Mus musculus: one gene and its partners. The protein of the gene in region 3 interacts with the protein of the main gene of each other region in a biochemical or structural test. Links are inferred from orthologs where the notes say so. Each region holds a gene or a part of one and is shown on either strand. Other genes may lie near its edges. The genes, in order: Hnrnpu, Hip1r, Actb, Sptbn2 and Pfn1.

Region 1 (4,298 bases), on a different chromosome or scaffold from region 3:
TTTACACTTAACTCTCAGGGCTCTGAACAATTTGTACAGGGAAAACATGAGAATCCAAGCTTTTAACCCCTTCTACCAAGTGAAATCCTGTAACTAAGCACTGATTTGTACTTTTTTTGTTCTGCTCACACCAAAAGATATGTTCTTATTAAATACTAAACTGACTTCTTTAAAGGATAAAAATACAAATCTGACAGCTAAAGCCCATTTCATGGTTTGCAATACTTCCTCATATTCAATTGCAACCCAACTGGGTTAAGTAGCATATTTACAGTGCTGCCATTGATACCATTCGCTGCTGAAGAAAGCTAGTGGCTCAGATAGCCCACTGCTGCTGCCCCAGGTCTTTGGAAGAAATCAACTTATGTTAAAGCAGCAGCTACTGAACTGGAATTGAGAACAAAAGAGCAGTTATTGAAAGTTAATATTACAATCCTTAGAATAGGGAATACACTTGTGTGCTAATGGGAAAATCAGTAAGTATTCAACTAGCCCAAATAGCTCACTTAACATAGTTCCACGAGAAAAAACTAAATCATGTAATCTAAGGACAAGTTACAGGCAGGTTTTTAAAAAAACAAGTTTCTGATAGCCGAGCAAAAATTATTTAGTTTTACATCCCCCAAGTACTGAGAAGTTTCAACTCGTAAATATTACCAATTACTAGAGCTTGTTAAATCAATACAACTGAAGTGGTATTAATATTAAACTACTGTAGCCTGAGCATTAAGCTACTACCTTCCTGCTTTAAAATAAGTTTCTTAACTGGTTTTTTCCACTTTAAGATCAACACATTTTTCCTAACACTTAAAACCAATGTTAACACTGCACTTGAAAACTAGCAAAGAGCGGGAAAGTCCGCCTCACTTACAAGTATCAAGACAAACCACTGTGTCATCGAAGTGTTCGTCTTCTTCTTCAACAGGTGGCTGAGGAGACTTGGCTCTGAAAGACAGAATTGTCTCCTGATAAAGCTTTCCCCACCTTGTATACAAAAAGAGCGGGCGACTGTTAAAACTGGGTGAGGAGCCTCTACCTGCTGTACTTGTTTTCTTCGATGTACTCAAAATACCCTCGGCCATGATCTTCTCGCGGTCTTTTAACGCCTCTCTTTTTATCTCCACCTTTCTGTTCTGTTTTGCCGTCTCCTATAACGACACAGAACACCGCCTTAAAGCATCAGGCCGAAAACTAAATAATGCAGTTAAGCACCTTTTGTGTTTCGAGCCTCAAGAGCTGTTACTGATTATTTTTTTCTGACTGATTCTTTGACTTTTTTAATCGACAAATGAAAATAAAAAAGTCTGGACTTGGACTGGACACAGTGACGCAGTCTGAAGACTGAACTTGCCAGCCTACCGCAACCTTCCAGAAAGCATTTTTTAAAAAGAGTTTAAAAAAAAAAAAAGCGGGACACCGCCCGGGCCCACGTGCGCCGGCCGCGCTCAAACGAGGGGGGGGGAAGCCTGGGCCCACCTCCCCTCCCCCACACGAGCCCGCGTGCCCCGCCGCCGCATTGTACTGAGCTTCCGCCCCGCTCCCCGCGCCTGCCGCCGGAAGTGACGTCACCACGAGCCCCTGCGCTCCTTGCACAATACCGCGGCGCTAAGCCGCCAAAGCCCGCCCGCTCCGGGACCTTCGGGCTTCTCCCCTCCCCCCACCGCCGACATGTGCCCGGACCGCGCGCACGCAGCGCCCCAGCGGCCGGCGCTCCCGCCCGGCCGGCCCCCCCACCGCGGCAGCTGCAGCGCTCCCCCCACCCCGGCGCCCGACATACATAATGGAGGCGCCGCCGGCATGGCGAGCAGAGCCTCCCGGGGCTCCCCCGCCCCCACCCTCCCGCGGCGCTCGCCCCGAGGGGCCCCGGCAGGCCTGGGGCACGGTCCCCACCGCCACGCGCACCCATCACGCAACACTCACCCGCCACCTTCCGCCTTCTTACCTCCCGCCTGCTGTTGGCCCTGCCTCGCCCCTGGCGGCGCCACCGTCACCGCGAAGAGCGAGGTGGGGCCGCTGCTCTTGCCCGCGGCCTCCTTGCCGGCACCACGCTGCTGGGAAGGCTGCTGCTGCGCCGCCGCTGCCGGCGGTTGGGACTGCTGCTCCCCGTGACCGTTCTCGTCGCCCGCGCCCTCCTCCTCGTCGCCGAGCTCGTCTTCCCCCTCCTGGAAGCCCTGGTCGTCGCCGTTCTCGTCTTCCGACGCTGCCTCCTCTTCCTCCATCGCGCCGGCGTCAGCCGCCCCCGCCGCCCCGTTCTCCTCGCCCAGCTCCATCTGGTCGCCGTCCAGAGCGGCGATGCCCTCCTCCTCCTCGTCGTCTTCGGCGCCAGCCGCGGCCTCCTGCTCTAGGCCCGCTCCCGAGCGCCCGGCCGCATCGCCACCTAGGTCGAGACTGCCGTTCCCGGGCTCCATGGCGGGGCGGCCTCCTGCCTCGTTGTCCAGCGCGGCCTGGAGTCGATCCATGAGATCGGCCTTGAGGCCCTTGTCGGAGAGGCGCCGCTTCTTGAGCTCCTCCTTCAGCTCCGACACCTTCAGCTTCTTGACATTAACAGGCGAAGAACTCATGTTGAGGGCCCCGGTTCCCCGCTGACTGCTGGCTCCCTCGGCCTGTGGCGGCGGCGGCTGCTGCTGGTCGGCCCGGGCGGCGGCTGCGGCTGGAGATGGCTGAGTGCTGCTGCAGAACGGACCCGCCTGGTGTCGAACGGCGCCAATTCCTTTCACCGAGTTCGCGAGGCAAGACGCGGAGACTCGCCCGGCGCGAGCGAGCACGCAACGTCCTCTCGCAGGGGCGGCGCCGCGCACGTAATATAGGCGCCCCGCCCCCTGCCGAGGCGAGGCCCGCTAGAGCGGCTGCGCGCGCAGGCCCCGCCCCGCCCCCACTGCGCGACCTCCGCGCTGGGCCGGACCGCGCAAATGGAGGCTCTTAGAAGCCACCTTTCGGTTAAACGGACCCGCCGCAGTGGCCGCCGGCCTTTCCGGCTCTTGAGCCGCCGCGCTCCACCGGCGCTCTGCCTTCTGTGTCCTGGCGGAGGCTCTCCTCCACCCGCCTTCAGTCCTCACCTGGCATTTTCCACTCGAGAACAACCTCCTTTCTTCCATCTTAGTTTAGTTTTTTGGTTTTCGGGTTGTTTTTTTTGTTGTTGTTTCTTGGGTTTTTTTTTTTTTGTTTTGGTTTTTGTTTTTTTTTTTGTCCCTCCGGCTCTAGGTTTAAAAAACTCTTCAAGTTTCCACCGCTGCCCTGTAGAACACCCATAGGCGATTGTTATGCAAAGGTGGTGTTTTGTTTAGTTTTTCCACCATTTAACTGCGTTTTTAAATTTTACAAGTCCTGCCTTGCCAGTCGGACTTATTTTAAGTTCCGCAAGGGCGAGGCCAGAGCCTTTCTTTTGTCTCTTCCCCAACCAGTGGTGCAAGGTTTGGGAAAGAGGCTTGCTGTACTCCACCATGCCTAACAGCCATATAGAGCGGGCCTTGTGTTGCTACTCACCGTATTTTCTATTGACCTTTGAGTAAGCCTTAGATTTTCATGGAAGTTCCCCTCGTTGTACTATAAAGATAGGCCTCTGTCCCCTGCAAATCTGATCCACCAGTTTGGAGACCCTTTAATTACAGATGAGGAAGACAGCCAGCACCCAGCTAGATTATGCACTTTGATCCTCTCCCTGTTTTTTCAGCCACTCTAAACATGTTTGTATACCTGCTGACTTGTCTACAAACTGGTAGTAACAAAAGGCTGGGATTTAGTAAAAAAAGAAAACACCTGTAGTTCTATTACTTGGCAGAGTGAGGCAGAAGTATCAAGAGTTAAAAGCTAGCCTGGGCTACTTAGTAAATTCCAGGCTTATCTGGGTTGAATACCAGACCCTATCTCAAAAAAGAAAAGAAAAAAAATTATGATTTGTTTTCTGGCATTAAATATGTTGTGTTCTTGAAACTTTTATATAGAATTTAATTTCTACACTGGGGCCTTCCTGTGTAGATTGCACCCAAGCTATGCTTGGTGGTACATGTGTATAATTTCAACACTTGGGAGATACAGGTAAGATGATCAAGAATTCAGTGTCAGCCAGGCAGGCAGTGGTGACACCCAAGTTTGGCTCCAGCGCTCAGGAAGCAGAGGCACCCCACCCACCCACCCCCATCCCCTCACCCCCACCCCCACCCTGTCTATGAAGCCAGTTCCAGGACAGCCAGAGCTACACAAAGAAACCCTGTCTCAAGCTAAGCAACTAAGCAACTCAGTCAATAAAATTCATTGTCATCCTTGGCTACAAAAGTTCAAAGCCAGTAGGAGATACCTGA
Region 2 (3,510 bases), about 19 Mb from region 3:
CTGTCACTCCAACTAAGCATGTTAGTGCAAACCTATAATCTGCTCAGAAAACTGAGGCAGGAGGATTGAGCTCAAGGCCAAACTTCTGAAAAGCAAGACCTTGTCTCAAAAACAACAAAAGAGGCCGGAGAGGTGGCTTAGGGGCTACTGTGCTGGCTACTCTTCCTGAAGACCTAGGTTCTATTTCCCAACACACACACACACACACACACACACACACACACACACACACCCTCACAACTAATCCATAACTCTGGTGCCAGAGGGTTTGATGCCCTCTTCTGGCTTCTACAGGTACCAGGCATAGACATGGTACACAGATGTACATGCAGGCCAAACACCATACGGGTTTGGTTTTTGGTTTTCGTAAAAAGACTGTCACTGTAATAGCCCATCGTGTAGCTGTGGAGACTGGCTAGTGTCTGTTCCAGGTCACAGCCTTGAACACAGGCTCTGTGAGCCCCAAATGACCTGATGCCTCCTCACTTGTCCTGGAGACCCTGACAATCAGGCCTTGTATCAGAACTCCAGAGAAAGAGGGACAGACAAAGGACAAACACGAGGCTGCCTCCCCTGGCCAGCATCTTCTCTGGGGCAGAGAGGGGAATGACAAAGAGCGGGGCAGTGAGCCAGGCCGGGAGAGCAGCCAGGCCCCATGTGGGGCAGATCTGAGTGGTGCCAGAAGCCCTCAGCCCCTTGGTCTGGCCATGCCTGGGGGGGGGGGGGGAGGAGCTGTCTGCAAGGATGGAAGCCACACTAGGGTTTTGTTTCTTTGTTTGGTTTTGGCTTTTTTTTATCTTGGGGTGTGTGTGTGTGTGTAAACTCTGGTTTTGTTCTGTGCCCTTCCTTTCTCCCTTCCTCTGCCCCTCCCTCCTCCCCAGAGTGTCGCCCACCCACCCACCCCCACATGCTAGGCAAGCACTTCATTATTTAGGTGCCACCCTGGCTAATCGAGACCAGATTGGTCTCAAACTCAGATATATGATTGATTTTTTTCTCTTAAGCACCAGGATTAAGGGCATGTGCCACCAAACTCGGACCTCTTATTTAAAGTTTTCTTTCCTTTATTTTCTATGTATAGGTGTTTTGCCTGTGCACCACATGCCTGCAATGCCCTCAAAGGCCAGAAGAGGGCATCAGATCCCCTAGAACTGGACAGTTAGGACCAGCCACAGGGCCAGGGCGCTCTCCAGCCCTTCTCACTTTTGAGACTGGGTCTCAGTAAGCTCCCCAGGTTGACCTTGAACTTACTCTAGCTCAAGCAGGCCTCAAATTCACGATTCTCCTGCCTCAGCCTTCTGAGGCACATCGCTCTTAACAGCCTTGCACTCCCATTGAAGGCAGTGTGTTACAGCGGGCTTTCTACTGAGGTAGACCTGCAGGGGTTTCTATCTTCTGTCACCTACGTGTGCCCACTCTCTATAAGTCACCAAGGATAGGGGCCTGCAGGTCCTTCCCCCTGGGCCTCCTCCTAGGTCAAGAGCAGCTAGGGTGGGACACAAGGGCTACGGCTTGAATCTCACGGCCTGTGTGCTCTGAGGAGCTCGGGCTTCCCCTTTCTGCCAGGACTCAATTCCTGGTGGCCTGGGTCCAGCTGCACTACTGGGCCACACCCCTGGTGACCTGCCGTTTTGTCCTACTCCTGGACAGGCTCCACGCTGGCCTCTCACCCTCCAGAGCCACAGGCCCAGACCCAGCGTACAGAGTGGCTGTCCTGCCTCTTCCCAATTCCCTGTTTTTCCTTAAAAAGGCGTGTGCCTTGGGCTTCATCATAGCCAACAGTGAGTCACAGCAGTTATTTTGAAGGTACAGCCCAGAACAATCACCTCCCAGGCGGGCGGGGAGGGTGAGCCCTCAGAGATTTCCTGTCCAACAGCTGCCAGTTCTTTGGCTGAACAGTCTGACAGGACCGTGAGGCATTTCAGAACACACAGTAGGAAATGTTAGCCATGTTTTCTCTCCTGGAGAGTAGTGCGGTGCCGAGGCCAGGCAGGAGCCTAGAGGGTCCTCCATGGGGCACACCCCACCCTCCACACCCAGGGGCCCATAGTGGCCTTCATGTGCCATGTCTTGGACACACGTAGGGTCTCGAGGAAGGGAAGTCTCTGCTTGTGCTCTGGAGGTACCATGAGGCCCCCTTCTGTCTTGGAGGGAGAGGGACCCCAAGGAAGAGGTGCACGTAAGACCTGGGTTACTGTGGGTGCTCTATCAGAAGAATCACTCGCCCAGTGTCAGTGGGGCCCAGGTTTCACCCCAACAGCAGGAAAGACAAGTGAAAATCCAGCCTGCCCACCAGTGCCTTCACAGCCTGGCATGAGTGACTTGCTCACCTGACTCAGAAAGCTTCAGTTCACAGTCCATGTAGTCAAACATCTCCACGGTAAGCTGAAAACTAGGAGAAAAGACGGGGATGCAAAGGGCAGCAGGGCACACCCACACAATCCCCGAGACCCCTTAGGAACAGGAAGCAAACTCCATCAGGCAGAAACATGGAGTACCTGATAAACCCCTTCACCCATAGCCTGGCCCCCTGGGGGTCATGACCTTCAGCCCTGTGGCCTCACTTGACATGGTCCCCAGTGGGCAGGCACTTGGGGGAAACTGAGGCTACACAGACTCACATGTTGTTGACATCAGTTCCCGCCGCCTTCTCCAACACCTCATCTGTTACCTCCAGGCCTGCAGGAAACTGGGGATGCTGCAGAAACAGCCCCCACGCAGCCTCATTGAGCAGCCACACACGGGTCCCATCCCTGCTCCTGACAGCTCCCATGAGAAGGGGAGTCGCCAGGGAGGTTTCTCAATCCCCTCATTCTGTGATCCCAGCTTCTCTGGTTAAGCCAAAGGGGCCGACAGAAATCCTGGGGCTGAGGCAGGGGCAGCCTGACCAGGACTGACGGGCAAGGCCACTGGAGCACACACAGGCTGGCATCTGCATTGGATCTATGCAAACATGGAGACAGCCCGATGATCTCCTGCCAGTCTTCCTAGCCTCCACAGCAAGTGGACAGAGCATGGATGGACAGGTGCCATCCAACCCCCTCTATGCCCCAGGATGTCACAGAGAGAAGAGCCTCCCAGTCCCATAGTCCATGATTGCTCAGGGAGACTACCTTAAGGTGGAAGGAGATCTTAGTCAGCAACAGTTTGGTATAGATATTCACCAGGTGTCCATACTGGTCACGAAGGTGGCCCTGTGGGGATGGGAGCCCTGTGTGAGGTCACTGTCAAGAACACACCTAGGAATCCCAAGGATTGAGCATGTGCCCAGACAGGAAGAAAAGAGGTAGCAAGAGAAGCAGGCCTTTCTTCCACAAATCAGTCACTCACTCGCTCAACAAACATTTCCTGCTAGTCTTCACCAATCTCATTACTCTGTCTCTAGCTTCCCCTCCTTAACCTCATTCCTTGTCACTCTTGCCAGAGAAAGTCTTGTGAGAGGCAAAGAGAGCACTTTGTCGGGGCAACAGGCCAGTTCTGAGCAGGGCACTTTACTAAAGAGCTGGTGGC
Region 3 (4,190 bases):
AGACAAGATGGTGAATGGTGAGCTCTCTGGGTGCTGGGATTCCCCTTAAACCTAGAAGGTTGCTCTGACAACCACAGGGCCCACCCTCACCAAGCTAAGGATGCTTAGCTTACCTTGATCTTCATGGTGCTAGGAGCCAGAGCAGTAATCTCCTTCTGCATCCTGTCAGCAATGCCTGGGTACATGGTGGTACCACCAGACAGCACTGTGTTGGCATAGAGGTCTTTACGGATGTCAACGTCACACTTCATGATGGAATTGAATGTAGTTTCATGGATGCCACAGGATTCCATACCTAAGAGAAGAGTGACAGAAATCAGACTTAACTTGTACTATGGCCTCAGGAGTTTTGTCACCTTTAGATGGAGAAAGGACTAGGCTACAACTTACCCAAGAAGGAAGGCTGGAAAAGAGCCTCAGGGCATCGGAACCGCTCGTTGCCAATAGTGATGACCTGGCCGTCAGGCAGCTCATAGCTCTTCTCCAGGGAGGAAGAGGATGCGGCAGTGGCCATCTCCTGCTCGAAGTCTAGAGCAACATAGCACAGCTTCTCTTTGATGTCACGCACGATTTCCCTCTCAGCTGTGGTGGTGAAGCTGTAGCCACGCTCGGTCAGGATCTTCATGAGGTAGTCTGTCAGGTCCCGGCCAGCCAGGTCCAGACGCAGGATGGCGTGAGGGAGAGCATAGCCCTCGTAGATGGGCACAGTGTGGGTGACCCCGTCTCCGGAGTCCATCACAATGCCTGTGGTACGACCAGAGGCATACAGGGACAGCACAGCCTGGATGGCTACGTACATGGCTGGGGTGTTGAAGGTCTCAAACATGATCTGTAGAGAAAAATAAATAATGTTGTCAAGTTCAGAAAGCCACAAGAAACACTCAGGGCAGGTGAAACTGTATGGATAGATCTGAGACATGCAAGGAGTGCAAGAACACAGCTAAGTTCAGTGTGCTGGGAGTCTCAGGACAGGGGCTCCACTTAGACCTACTGTGCATCTACTCAATACACACTCCAAGGCCACTTATCACCAGCCTCATTAGCTTTGTCACACGAGCCATTGTTAGTACCTAAACCCACAGCACTGTAGGGTTTAAACACCTAGTCAGAAAGGCAATTGAGAGAAAAAAAGACCTCGTCTGGGAAAGAGCAGAAACTGCAAAGATCCAAGGGAGACTCAGCTCATAGAAGGGAGTCCTATGGGAGAACGGCAGAAGAAAGACAATTGAGAAAGGGCGTGGCTGAGAAGCTGGCCAAAGAGAAGGGTTACCCGGGATACTGACCTGGGTCATCTTTTCACGGTTGGCCTTAGGGTTCAGGGGGGCCTCGGTGAGCAGCACAGGGTGCTCCTCAGGGGCCACACGCAGCTCATTGTAGAAGGTGTGGTGCCAGATCTTCTCCATGTCGTCCCAGTTGGTAACAATGCCATGTTCAATGGGGTACTTCAGGGTCAGGATACCTCTCTTGCTCTGGGCCTCGTCACCCACATAGGAGTCCTTCTGACCCATTCCCACCATCACACCCTGTGGAAGGGAACAGCCTTCTTAGCACCGGCATCGATCCCCAAGAAAACCCCAGGCTTGCCACTCCCAAAGTAACAGGTCACTTACCTGGTGCCTAGGGCGGCCCACGATGGAGGGGAATACAGCCCGGGGAGCATCGTCGCCCGCGAAGCCGGCTTTGCACATGCCGGAGCCGTTGTCGACGACCAGCGCAGCGATATCGTCATCCATGGCGAACTATCAAGACACAAAAGAAGGCTATAGTCACCTCGGGGCCGCCAAGAGCAGCCGCTGCCGCCCTGCCCACTTCCGGCAAGCCGCGGGCTCGAGCCGCCAGGGGGCGCGCGCCCAAGCTCAGGGGACAAAGGAAGCGCAGACCGGCCGCATTATTACCATAAAAGGCAAACGCTGGCCCGGAGGCGGACCTAGGGCAGGAAGCCAGACCTCCGCCCCCTCCCCAAACGGGCGCAAGCTCCGCCTACACTGCGCCGACGGGCGGCTTGTGCGCGCGCGGGAGGCGACCACACCCAGCAGGAAGCGCAAACAAGGCGCCCGTGCCACTGTGACCCCGCCCCTTCCGGACAACGGCCCCGCCCTCGCCCAACCCCGGGCAGCCGCGCTCCCAGCCTCAATACGCACGCGCAGCTAACTAGGAAGAGGGGGAGAGGAAGAGCTCCCTCCCTAGCGCACACGCGCCTCGATGCCCAGTGATAGAGAGCGCACGCGCAGTGGCATCCCAGCCCCCACCCGGCCGAGCCGGCCCTGCCGCGCCCGCCCGCCCGCCCGCCCGCCCGGCAAGCCGAATAGGCAAACCGGTTTGGACAAAGACCCAGAGGCCATTGAGGCGTGATCGTAGCGTCTGGTTCCCAATACTGTGTACTCTCAAGATGGACCTAATACGGCTTTTAACACCCGCAAGCCGCACCGGCTCATCAAATGCCCACACCGCGACCCTAGTGTGTCCCCAAGCCCCACGCACCGAGCGGGAGCGGGCCCACGAGTGTCTACACCGCGGGAATGTGGCTGCAAAGAGTCTACACGCTAGGCGTAAAGTTGGCTGTGCCAGTGTCCGCTCCGCGGCCCGGCACCACCCTCCACCCGCCCATGGTGTCCGTTCTGAGTGATCCTCAGGACCCTGCAGTGAGGTACTAGCCACGAGAGAGCGAAGGCCCGCTGGGCCCGGCGTCCCTGCTTACCTGGTGGCGGGTGTGGACCGGCAACGAAGGAGCTGCAAAGAAGCTGTGCTCGCGGGTGGACGCGACTCGACAGTGGCTGCGCGTTGCGCCGCCGGGTTTTATAGGACGCCACAGCGGCCACTCGAGCCATAAAAGGCAACTTTCGGAACGGCGGGCGCTGATTGGCTCCGCGTCGCTCACTCACCGGCCTCGCCGCACAGTGCAGCATTTTTTTACCCCCTCTCCCCTCCTTTTGAAAAAAAAAAAAAAAAAGAAGAAGAAAAAAAAAAAAAGCGAGAGAGAAAGCGAGATTGAGGAAGAGGATGAAGAGTTTTGGCGATGGGTGCTGGCTCCGTAGGCCCAGATGTACAGGAATAGCCTCCGCCCTTGTGGACACTGCCCCATTCAATGTCTCGGTTACTAGGCCTGCATTCTGGGGGTCACCCAACCACCCCAGGACCCTCTGGGTGTGGATGTCACGTGGATATCGAGCACTTAAGTGGATGAGGGTCAGCATCGAGGCCCGGACCCTATTTGTGTGGCCTCTTGTTTGAGGGACACGCGGGGCCTGGATTGAATGGACAGAGAGTCACTCCCCCTTGCTAGCAATTGCTAGCAATAGCCGGAAAGCCAGATCCGGGGGGGCCCCTTCTGCTGTGGTTCTAATTTGCTAGGTGTGTTGGGGTTCAACTTGGAAGCAGAACTCTGGTTGGAGAGGTTTTCATGGATCTTGACCTCTTAGAGACTCAAGGCCATCCTATCCCAAGCATAGGGCGAGCCCCAGTGGTCCAATAACTGGAGGTGTTGCAAGAAGATGCCTCCAGATATCCCCTGCCCCGGATCTAGAAAGGAACTGTGCTCAATAGAACAAACAAAACTTCTCATGGAGTCAGGCACTTTTGGAGAACTGCCTGATCACACCCAGGCAAGACTAAGCCTGGGCCGTTAGCTAGTGTCTCTGGGTGACTGCCAGACATCGCTGGGCTGGGGCCCACCATCTATCCTCTATTTATTATGTGCAGCCACAGCTGAGTTGTGCACTAGTCCATCTGCCAGCCGTGGGGATTCTGGGAGTGACAAGCTGCTCAGGGAAAAGTTGGTGGTCACCGGAGCCCCAAATCCTCCAGAGAGAAGCAGCCCCTGTCCCCCTCACCTAAGTACCAGTGTTCTACTTAGCAAGCCAGCTATTTGGCTGAGAGCTACACACGGGGTCAGGGTTGAGGGCCGGATCCCTCAGCTTAGCTTAGAAGGACACGCACCTTCTGGGAGAGTGTGACAGAAAGCTGGATTTAGGCAAGAAGGGTGCTTCAGGTGAGATGCTCTGGGCCTGCCGTGCCTCAGTGCATGCATAGGTAGGTGTTCACTGGCTCACAAAGTGTAGGTGTTGAAACCAAAGAAGGCTTCATCCATATATGGACTACAGTGGCCAGCTTCCTTGTTCTTGGCTGGTGGCAGGGCATTTTGAAGTTGCTGAGGCCTTGTCTGGAAGAGGTGACCATCACCCCAGCATATG
Region 4 (3,510 bases), on a different chromosome or scaffold from region 3:
CTGGGAGTTTCAAGGAGTGGGGAAAAAGTTATGGGATGCCTCAGCTTCTGAGACAGTGAGTGGGGCACACCTGGTTGTAGAGAGAGGAGACAGAGGCAGCTCCAGACAAACAGGTCGGACAGTGGCGGGGGAGGGGCAGGCTGCCTAGGAGGCGGAGCCAGTTGGGGCATGGCCAGGCCCTGCAGGGGCGGAGGAGGGAGTTGCCAGCACCCAGAGACCTGTTCGTCAGGCTACTAGTTGCCCAAGACTAGGGGAAAACTGCCAGAGAGGGCCCCAAAGCAAACTCCTGCTTTCAGAAGGTCTGCAGGTGGGCCAGCTTCTTTGGGCATCTCTAGGTGGGCTTGTTCCGGGATAGCTGAGCTTTGATCTCAGCCCTGAGAGCAGAGAAACGCGGAAGCAAGGAGATTCAGGAAGAGAAGCCAGGTGTTGACCCCTATGGCCTCCTCTGGGGAGTAAGTACTGTGACTGCCCTCCAGTACCAGCCCTTTCCCGCAGCCCACCAGCTCCTCAGTCAATATCCCAGCCCCGGACACCCTAATACTGGGCACGTTATCAGGGCCCTTCCTATCTCTTCCTAGGCCTCTGCTTCTGTCACTCTTAACCCACGCTTGTTCCTCCTCGTTTTAATTATTTAGGGTTTATTTGGCACCTACTGAGTGAGTGGCACTGTACAAAGCCATGGCCATTCACAGATGCCTCTCCAGGGGAATAAACACTCAATGAGACACTGCGTGTGCGCGTGCGCGTGCACTGTAACAGTTCTGATTGGTACAGGTCTTATGTGCAGAGTTTGACAATATTGGGAAGTATGTGTCAAATGCTCGGGCATGGTAGCAGTACTGAGTGGTATGTGGCGTGCTCAGACGTCGTGAGAGCTTCGGGTAGCACCTGTCATATGAACTAGACTTGGCAAATTTACTGGGTGGCATGTAGCATGTGCACATAGAGCTCATGATCACACTGGTTGGCATGTGACCCGTCCTGATACAGTGACAGTTCTGGGAGTTATGTGTCACTGCAGATACCATGAACGTTTTGGGTAGCATGTGCACCATAACATCAATGAGAGCGAGCGGATAGAGGATTCCCGAATCTAAACCCAGGCTGCCAGGCACACTTCTCCAACAGGGGTGACATTTTCCACGCCCCACATTTTCTGTCTTCCCTGAGCTACTGAAGTACTAATATGAGTATTTCATCAGCCGGCCTCCAGTCCCAGCTAGGAAGATGCCAGGAGAAAGTGACCCATGAACCCCACGAGCTGGAACCATTGTCCGGAAAGCTTTTAAGAGTCCTGAGTTTCTGGACTACATGTCCTTCTTGAGAACTGGTATTTGTAAAAAATTCTCTGGGCCTCCAAAACTCTTCTGCTGGGAGCTGCCCCACTGGGAAATCACTCCCTGTGTGGAAGTAATGAGGAATAAGCTCCCATAGTGGAACTGGCTGGGCCACGGGCAGGTCCGTGGGATGATTGTGGAAGGCAGCCTGGGTGGGTGGCCTTAGGGTGTGTAGGTGAGTCAATCCCAAAACAGCCACAGGCTGGTGGTGGTGTCAGGTGGCAGCTGCACTCCTGTTGCTATGACCACAGCCCCCCCCCCCCCCCAGGCAGGAGGCCAGTCAGACTGGTTTGTTTGTCCCAGCTCAGCCAAGGGGAGAGCCCTGGCCATAGGGGAGGGCAGGGGCCGAGGGGGTGGGTGGAGCACAAGCCCTGAGAGAATGGGAGGGCTGCTGCTGAGAGAACTGCTTCAGGGAACAGGTAAATAAAATAACTGGAGTCACAGGCAGCAGGTAGGAGGGCGGGGAGAGTGCCAGGAAGATAATGAGCCAGGAGTGGAACAGCTGTGGGAAACGTTGGGAGGGGAGGGGAGGGAGAAGTGGATGGGGACAGAAGTGACAACTAGAGATATAAAGGCAAAGCACTGCAGGGGCAGAGACCCGATGCAGGTAGATGCTCATCTACCCAGCTGGCTCCTTCCAGGGGTTAATGTGTGTGGCATCGCCAGGCTAGGGGAGAAGAAAACTAGGGGGTGTTGTACACTGCATGGGGTTTGTCCTTGAGGTTGGATCTGGTGACCAGGGGTCGGTACCTGTTTCTTCAGAGCAGCAGCTTAGAGACCGAGGCAAGTCTTCCCATAAAGACAGAGGATTCTCCATCGCAAGCTCAGAAACCCACCTCTACCAATCCCTTCGCCTCCCTGCCCCTCCCGTACCTGCCAGGGCCTTGATCCTGGACCTCTCAAAGAGGCGGGCCGAACTGCTGTCATTGTCCCAGTCTGAGTCAGGCAGGTCCCAGCGGTTGTTGATGTCACTGTACTGGCCCTGGATCTCCAAGCTGTCAAAGTCAGTGGGTGACAGAGTGCTGCTCATGGTGGTGGGTGGCTTCCTGTTCCTGCAAAAAGACGTGGCTGATGAGCAGCGCGCGGGGGGGGGGGGGGGGTGTGTGTGAGGCTGAGCCGCTGCTCACCAGGCCTTTCTTCTGCTTTTTGTTTGGATTTTTCAAGACATGGCTTATCTCTGTAGCCATGCCTGTCCTGGAACTTGCCTTGTAGACCAAGCTGACCTTAAACGTAAGGGATTCCCCTGCCTCTGCCTCCCACGTGCTGGGACTGAAGGTGTGCACCACCATGCTGGGTTATCATGTTCTTCTATCTGCTTGCCCCAGCTCTCCGTGGCTTTGCTGGAGCCAGAGGTTATGACTGGGTAGCTTTCTTTTGTTGGTGAAAAAAAAATCAGCCCCCAGTGGGAAGCCACCCTGAGGGAGTGGCTAGACAGGAATGATGAGGAGAGACACATGCACTTGAAGGAAGGAAGCATTGGAGCCTGCAAGGGCTTCAAGGGCCACAGGCCAGAGCTCCATAGGACAGAGCAGGTATGCTAAAGGAAGACACAAAGGATTCAGGGTCACGCACACAGCAGCTTTAAGATGATGGTTTCAGACTCCCGCTCTACTCTTCTTCTGAGTCTTCTTTGTAAGTACCTGGAGATTAAAGGCCCAGATTCTGCTCTAGAGCTGAGGTAAATTACCACAGAAGCATAAAGATGGCCGAACTGAGACAGGCACGGACCAAATGTCTAGGTGCTCATAGGGGGCAAGGCATGGCTCTTACCTCTAGGGCTCTTTTGTTGCTACAGAAAATGCTTCCTAAGTTCTTAACAAGTGTCAGTTGTGCCGTGTGTCCTGTCACTCATGAGCGGAGGGCCTTCCCTGATTCATAGATGAAGTAGCCACGCTGCTGCTGCTGTTAACCCACTGGCTCAGGGTTATTTGGCTCGAAGCTACATACTGGGTTTTGAAGCAAGGTTCTTTCTGACTTTAAAAAATGTCTTTTCAATTTTGTTTTATGGATATGAAAGTTTTGCTCTGTGTGTGTGTGTATACCTGTGTGTGCTTGCATGTGTACCATGCGTTTGCCTGGTGCCCAGTGAGGCCAAACGAGGATGCGGGAGTCACTGAAACTGACCTTACATATGGTTGTGAGCTGACCTGTGGGTGCTGGGAATCGAACCTGG
Region 5 (4,310 bases), on a different chromosome or scaffold from region 3:
GACTCACGCGGCGGCCGGCTCTCGAGCGCTCCTCCCCGTCGGCCCTCCCCACGGGGTCGCCCTCCTTGCCTCCACCCTAGGGTCCCCACCTGTCGTGGCGTCCCTGTCCCGCCCCTCCTCTCTTATCTCCTGCCGCTCCCTGCGGGATTTTTCCACCCCCGGGCAGGAGGCGCGCAGATCAGAGGTCAAGGGATGGCGGGCGCAGGCCGCCACGTGCCCCAGCGCGGCCCCGCCCGTGACTCAGCCACGCGGCTGTCGAAGAACCTCGGCTGGGGGGCGTGGGGAGCCAGAATTTGGGGATGAACGTCAGGGAACCCAACCCGGCTCCAAAAGGCAGCGAACCAAGTACTTCCACTGGGAGAGGCTGCACACCCTGGCGCCCCTCCTCCGAGGGACCGGAAGCGGCCGAGCCCCTCGGAGGCCAGGGTCCCGGGTGACTCCTTTACTCCCTCCAGCCTCAGTGGCCTGCCATTCGCCCCTAGACCTGCTCGGCGGCGAGTGAGCTGACCGCACATAAATACTTAGCAAAAGTTTTTCTGGAAAAGAAGAAAGCCCCAGTGCGTCCAAAGTAGAGGGGACTTTCCTCTTCTTATAAAAGTTGTCATCCTTGGTACTTTAGTATTCTTCCGCCTTGAAAAATGAGTCCCGTCGTGTCACCCGGGTGGCGCCCCTATTCAGTGACCTCTGTAGACAGGGTTCAGGCATGGGGCGAGGCTGAGCTGGAGCGGATCCAGCGAAGGGAATGATTCCTCGGGAATCTAGGGACGCGCTCGAATGAACCCAACGTGTGCGCTGTACATGGCAGACGGTTGGGACAGGTGCCCTGGTTGGAGAGACCTTTAGTACTGAAAATGACTAGAGTATTATATCGATTTCACTTTTGCTCCCTTATCGTTTAGATAAATGTGGAGAAGGCAGCAGGGCCCAACCCGGGGCGTCTGCCCGTCCCGACTGCTGGGGACGCGTCTTCCCTCCTCGGATGGTCCAAATGTGTCCCGCCAGGCGCGCGCTCACGCAGCCAAGCCGCTAGCCCCAACCGCCCCACGCGCTGGCTTCTCACTGCCCCGGCGCAGGCGCGGGCGCACGCGCCGCCGCCCGCCGTTCCTTCCCTCCCGCGGAGGTGGGGGTTGGGGGGTGGAGGAATGATTCGGTTTAACCCTGGGTTCCCCGAACCCACTTCAACTTGCTCAACCTTACTAATTTTCTTTTTTTTTTTTTTTTCTTTTTCTTTCCCTGCTTCCTCTGGCTTCCTCCTTCTATAGCCAAGTGGTATTCAGGATGAATCGGAGCGAGCCCTAACCTTAACCTCTCCTGCCACCACCACTCTATATAGCCTTTGGCGTGGCTTTCCATCGAACTCGGCAAATTTTGCAAAGTGGGGGGAGGGTTTTTTAAAAATTGCATTTGCAAAAGTTCGCTATCTGGCCCGGCGGGGGGGGGGGGAGGATGGAGGGAGGGAATGGGGCGCAGGCCCCGCCCCGCCGCCCTTTGCAAATAAAAATCTAGAGGGGGGGGGGAGGAGCAGGAAGTGGCGGTGCGAGGGCTGCTGCACAGCTAACAGAGCCGCGTTCCGGACGGCAGCGCGTGCCCCGAGCTCTCTGCCTTCCCCCGCCCGCCAGCCCGAGCCCGAGCCCGCGATCCCAGCAACAGCCCGCAGAGCAGCCCCAGCAGCAGCGCCATGGCCGGGTGGAACGCCTACATCGACAGCCTTATGGCGGACGGGACCTGTCAGGACGCGGCCATCGTAGGCTACAAGGACTCGCCCTCCGTCTGGGCCGCCGTCCCCGGGAAGACCTTCGTTAGCATTACGGTACTGCGAGGCTCGTGCGGTCCCGAGCAGTGACCGGCCTTAGACCCTCTGGGGGACTGGGGTGGGGGCGGGCGCAGGCGAGCGAGGGCAGCGGGAGGCCGTGATCCGGTCCTCTCCCATCGGCGGGGCGAATGGCGGCTGCGTGAGACTGGCTCCCTCTGTGGTTCCCCGGGCTCTACGCCCCTCGGCGGCGGCGCCCATCTCGCCCGCCGCCCCGCTTTCTGCGACCGGGCGTTACATCCGGGGCCCAGGGCGGGGAGGGGCGCGGCGGCCGGTGCGGCGGCCCACTTCCGCCTCCTCCAGGGCGGGGCGGGCACGCGCTGCAGTTTTAGCCCGGGATTATGATTGATAAGGGGCTCCGGAGCCTGGACTCCCCTTCGGGCCGAATGCTCGCTCTCCCTCCACCATTGTTCCCCCTGACGCTGATGGGAGCGCCAGGCGCGTGGCCTTGGGCCCGGGCCGGACCTCGGTAGCCACCCTGCCCCTCCCAGCTCCGTTAGAGAGGGCGAGGCCGCCACACACACACACACCCCCCAAGTCGGCACGTTAGCCTCAACATTCCTGGGAGGCCGATTCCGGAAGTCCCCTCGCCCTCCCTTCCCGCCATCCGCCCGGGCCCGGCGTAGGGGAACTTTGTGAGAAGTTCTGAGACGGTAAAAGTGAAGGAATAAGGTTGCTGCTGTCCCTACCACCACCTTCCCTGACCACACTGCCCGGAAGTGGGGAGGGGGAGCGGAAGTTCGAATGGGGGGAGGGGATTTCCGGGCGGGAGGGTACCGGATATAGGGGTTTGGGGGTTTAAGGGGGAGAAGGAGAAAGGTTCTCTGGGATGTCTAGACTCACACACAGACTAGTCTCCTGCCCTAATAAACTTTTTGAACTTAATTAGAGAGCCCCCGGGGTCAGCTTCCTTATCTTGGGGCATAGCTACCTGGACCCAAACTCCAGGTTACCCGGAGACCCAGGCGTCCGGGCTCCTAACAACGCCTGCAGAACCTTTGACCAAATAAGGACAAAGTTACTTCTCCTCCCTTCCTACCCCCTCCCTTCCCCTCTTTGCTTCTGCTTTTCCTGAAGGGCTGTTCTGAGCATCCAAAGGCTCCCCCTCGATCATTGATCGATTTCTGGTACCCAGCATTTGCTTTCCCTATTAAGCATGAACATCTAAGACTTCAGAGGAATACTTTTTCCTCCTTGACCCATTTACCAGACTTTAGGACCATGATCGGTCTCTGCAATACCCACAGTACTGGGTTTTCCCCCCAACTTTTGGTGGTGTGGATGAAGCACCCTCAACTCCAGCTCCACAGTACATAAGAGGACAAGTTATGCAGGTGCACTAACTTAATGAGGTGATTAATTCTTTTAGCCAGCTGAGGTTGGTGTCCTGGTAGGCAAAGACCGGTCAAGTTTTTTCGTCAATGGGCTGACACTTGGGGGCCAGAAATGTTCTGTGATCCGGGACTCACTGCTGCAAGACGGGGAATTTACAATGGATCTTCGTACCAAGAGCACCGGAGGAGCCCCCACCTTCAATGTCACTGTCACCATGACTGCCAAGAGTGAGTTTGACTGATTCTCTAGCTTTGAAATCCTTTTGTTAGTCACTTTATGTGTCCTCAGTGTCAAGGCTGCATAACAGTATTTACTCTGCTGGTTATGGGAACCGTGGATGGTCCTTTGGGTTCTGACTCTGGCTCCCCAGCTTGTAAAGAAACTAAAACTTATATTACCTCTTAAGTCCCTTCTTGCTTTGAGCTTTTTTGAGATTAGTTTGCTTAGGGCAGTTGGGATCTTAAGTCAGCATTTGGCTCTAATCTCCAGTTCTGTAAAGACTTGAGAGGTAGGAAGCGCATCACAGCCGTTCCTAGCCACCTACAGCCTGGAAGTTTAGGACCTCTAAATTTTGCCTTTTTCTTTACTACTCTTAAAGCTCTTTTTTTTTTTTCCTTCTTTGAAAAGCTCTATTGTTTTAGGATGACTGACAGCCTGCCTGTGTATAAGGGGGGGAGGGCTGGTTAGGAGGGCTGAGGTTAGGTTACAACCCCCGGGGCCAGACAGCTGCTGAACAGCTGGCAGGGTTGAATTGTGACACCTGGGTCCTAGCTTCCTTTTTCTTTCCTCCAGCGCTAGTCCTGCTGATGGGCAAAGAAGGTGTCCACGGTGGTTTGATCAACAAGAAATGTTATGAAATGGCCTCTCACCTGCGGCGTTCCCAGTACTGACCTCATCTGTCCCTTCCCCCCACCGTTCCCTTTGGCTTTTGCACCCCCTTCTTTCCATACACACACATACCATTATTTTTTGGGCCATTACCCCATTTCCCTTATTGCTGCCAAAACCACATGGGCTGGGGGCTGGGGCTGGATGGACAGACACCTCCCCCTACCCATACCCCCTCCTGTGTGTGTTTGGAAAATTTTTGTTTTTGGGTTTCATTTTTTGTTTTTTGGTCTTTTTTTTTTTTTTTTTTTTCTGAATAAAAAAAGATTCTACTAAC

The links.
Region 1: the proteins of Actb (region 3) and Hnrnpu form a complex in vitro, tested with the Homo sapiens proteins (2 studies listed by BioGRID). The link is inferred for Mus musculus from reciprocal best matches to the Homo sapiens genes ACTB and HNRNPU.
Region 2: the proteins of Actb (region 3) and Hip1r form a complex in vitro, tested with the Homo sapiens proteins (2 studies listed by BioGRID). The link is inferred for Mus musculus from reciprocal best matches to the Homo sapiens genes ACTB and HIP1R.
Region 4: the proteins of Actb (region 3) and Sptbn2 form a complex in vitro, tested with the Homo sapiens proteins (2 studies listed by BioGRID). The link is inferred for Mus musculus from reciprocal best matches to the Homo sapiens genes ACTB and SPTBN2.
Region 5: the proteins of Actb (region 3) and Pfn1 form a complex in vitro, tested with the Homo sapiens proteins (2 studies listed by BioGRID and IntAct, with this or other methods). The link is inferred for Mus musculus from reciprocal best matches to the Homo sapiens genes ACTB and PFN1.

The regions. Positions count from the first base shown.
Region 1 is NC_000067.6:178,335,011-178,339,308, forward strand, and holds the start of Hnrnpu (heterogeneous nuclear ribonucleoprotein U), read right to left. Parts: upstream 2,806-4,298; 5' UTR 2,562-2,805; coding exon 1,943-2,561; intron 1,149-1,942; coding exon 1,037-1,148; intron 946-1,036; coding exon 872-945; intron 1-871. UniProt on the Homo sapiens protein: DNA- and RNA-binding protein involved in several cellular processes such as nuclear chromatin organization, telomere-length regulation, transcription, mRNA alternative splicing and stability, Xist-mediated transcriptional silencing and mitotic cell progression.
Region 2 is NC_000071.6:123,990,626-123,994,135, reverse strand, and holds part of Hip1r (huntingtin-interacting protein 1-related protein), read right to left. Parts: intron 3,195-3,510; coding exon 3,114-3,194; intron 2,699-3,113; coding exon 2,622-2,698; intron 2,393-2,621; coding exon 2,331-2,392; intron 1-2,330. UniProt on the Homo sapiens protein: Component of clathrin-coated pits and vesicles, that may link the endocytic machinery to the actin cytoskeleton. Binds 3-phosphoinositides (via ENTH domain).
Region 3 is NC_000071.6:142,903,954-142,908,143, forward strand, and holds the start of Actb (actin, cytoplasmic 1), read right to left. Parts: upstream 2,802-4,190; 5' UTR 2,699-2,801; intron 1,740-2,698; 5' UTR 1,734-1,739; coding exon 1,611-1,733; intron 1,524-1,610; coding exon 1,284-1,523; intron 830-1,283; coding exon 391-829; intron 296-390; coding exon 114-295; intron 1-113. UniProt on the Homo sapiens protein: Actin is a highly conserved protein that polymerizes to produce filaments that form cross-linked networks in the cytoplasm of cells.
Region 4 is NC_000085.6:4,717,698-4,721,207, reverse strand, and holds part of Sptbn2 (spectrin beta chain, non-erythrocytic 2), read right to left. Parts: intron 2,390-3,510; 5' UTR 2,368-2,389; coding exon 2,211-2,367; intron 453-2,210; exon of another isoform or gene 364-452; intron 1-363. UniProt on the Homo sapiens protein: Probably plays an important role in neuronal membrane skeleton.
Region 5 is NC_000077.6:70,651,849-70,656,158, reverse strand, and holds the start of Pfn1 (profilin-1), read left to right. Parts: upstream 1-1,508; 5' UTR 1,509-1,678; coding exon 1,679-1,810; exon of another isoform or gene 1,811-3,034; intron 3,035-3,179; coding exon 3,180-3,372; intron 3,373-3,937; coding exon 3,938-4,035; 3' UTR 4,036-4,310. UniProt on the Homo sapiens protein: Binds to actin and affects the structure of the cytoskeleton. At high concentrations, profilin prevents the polymerization of actin, whereas it enhances it at low concentrations. By binding to PIP2, it inhibits the formation of IP3 and DG.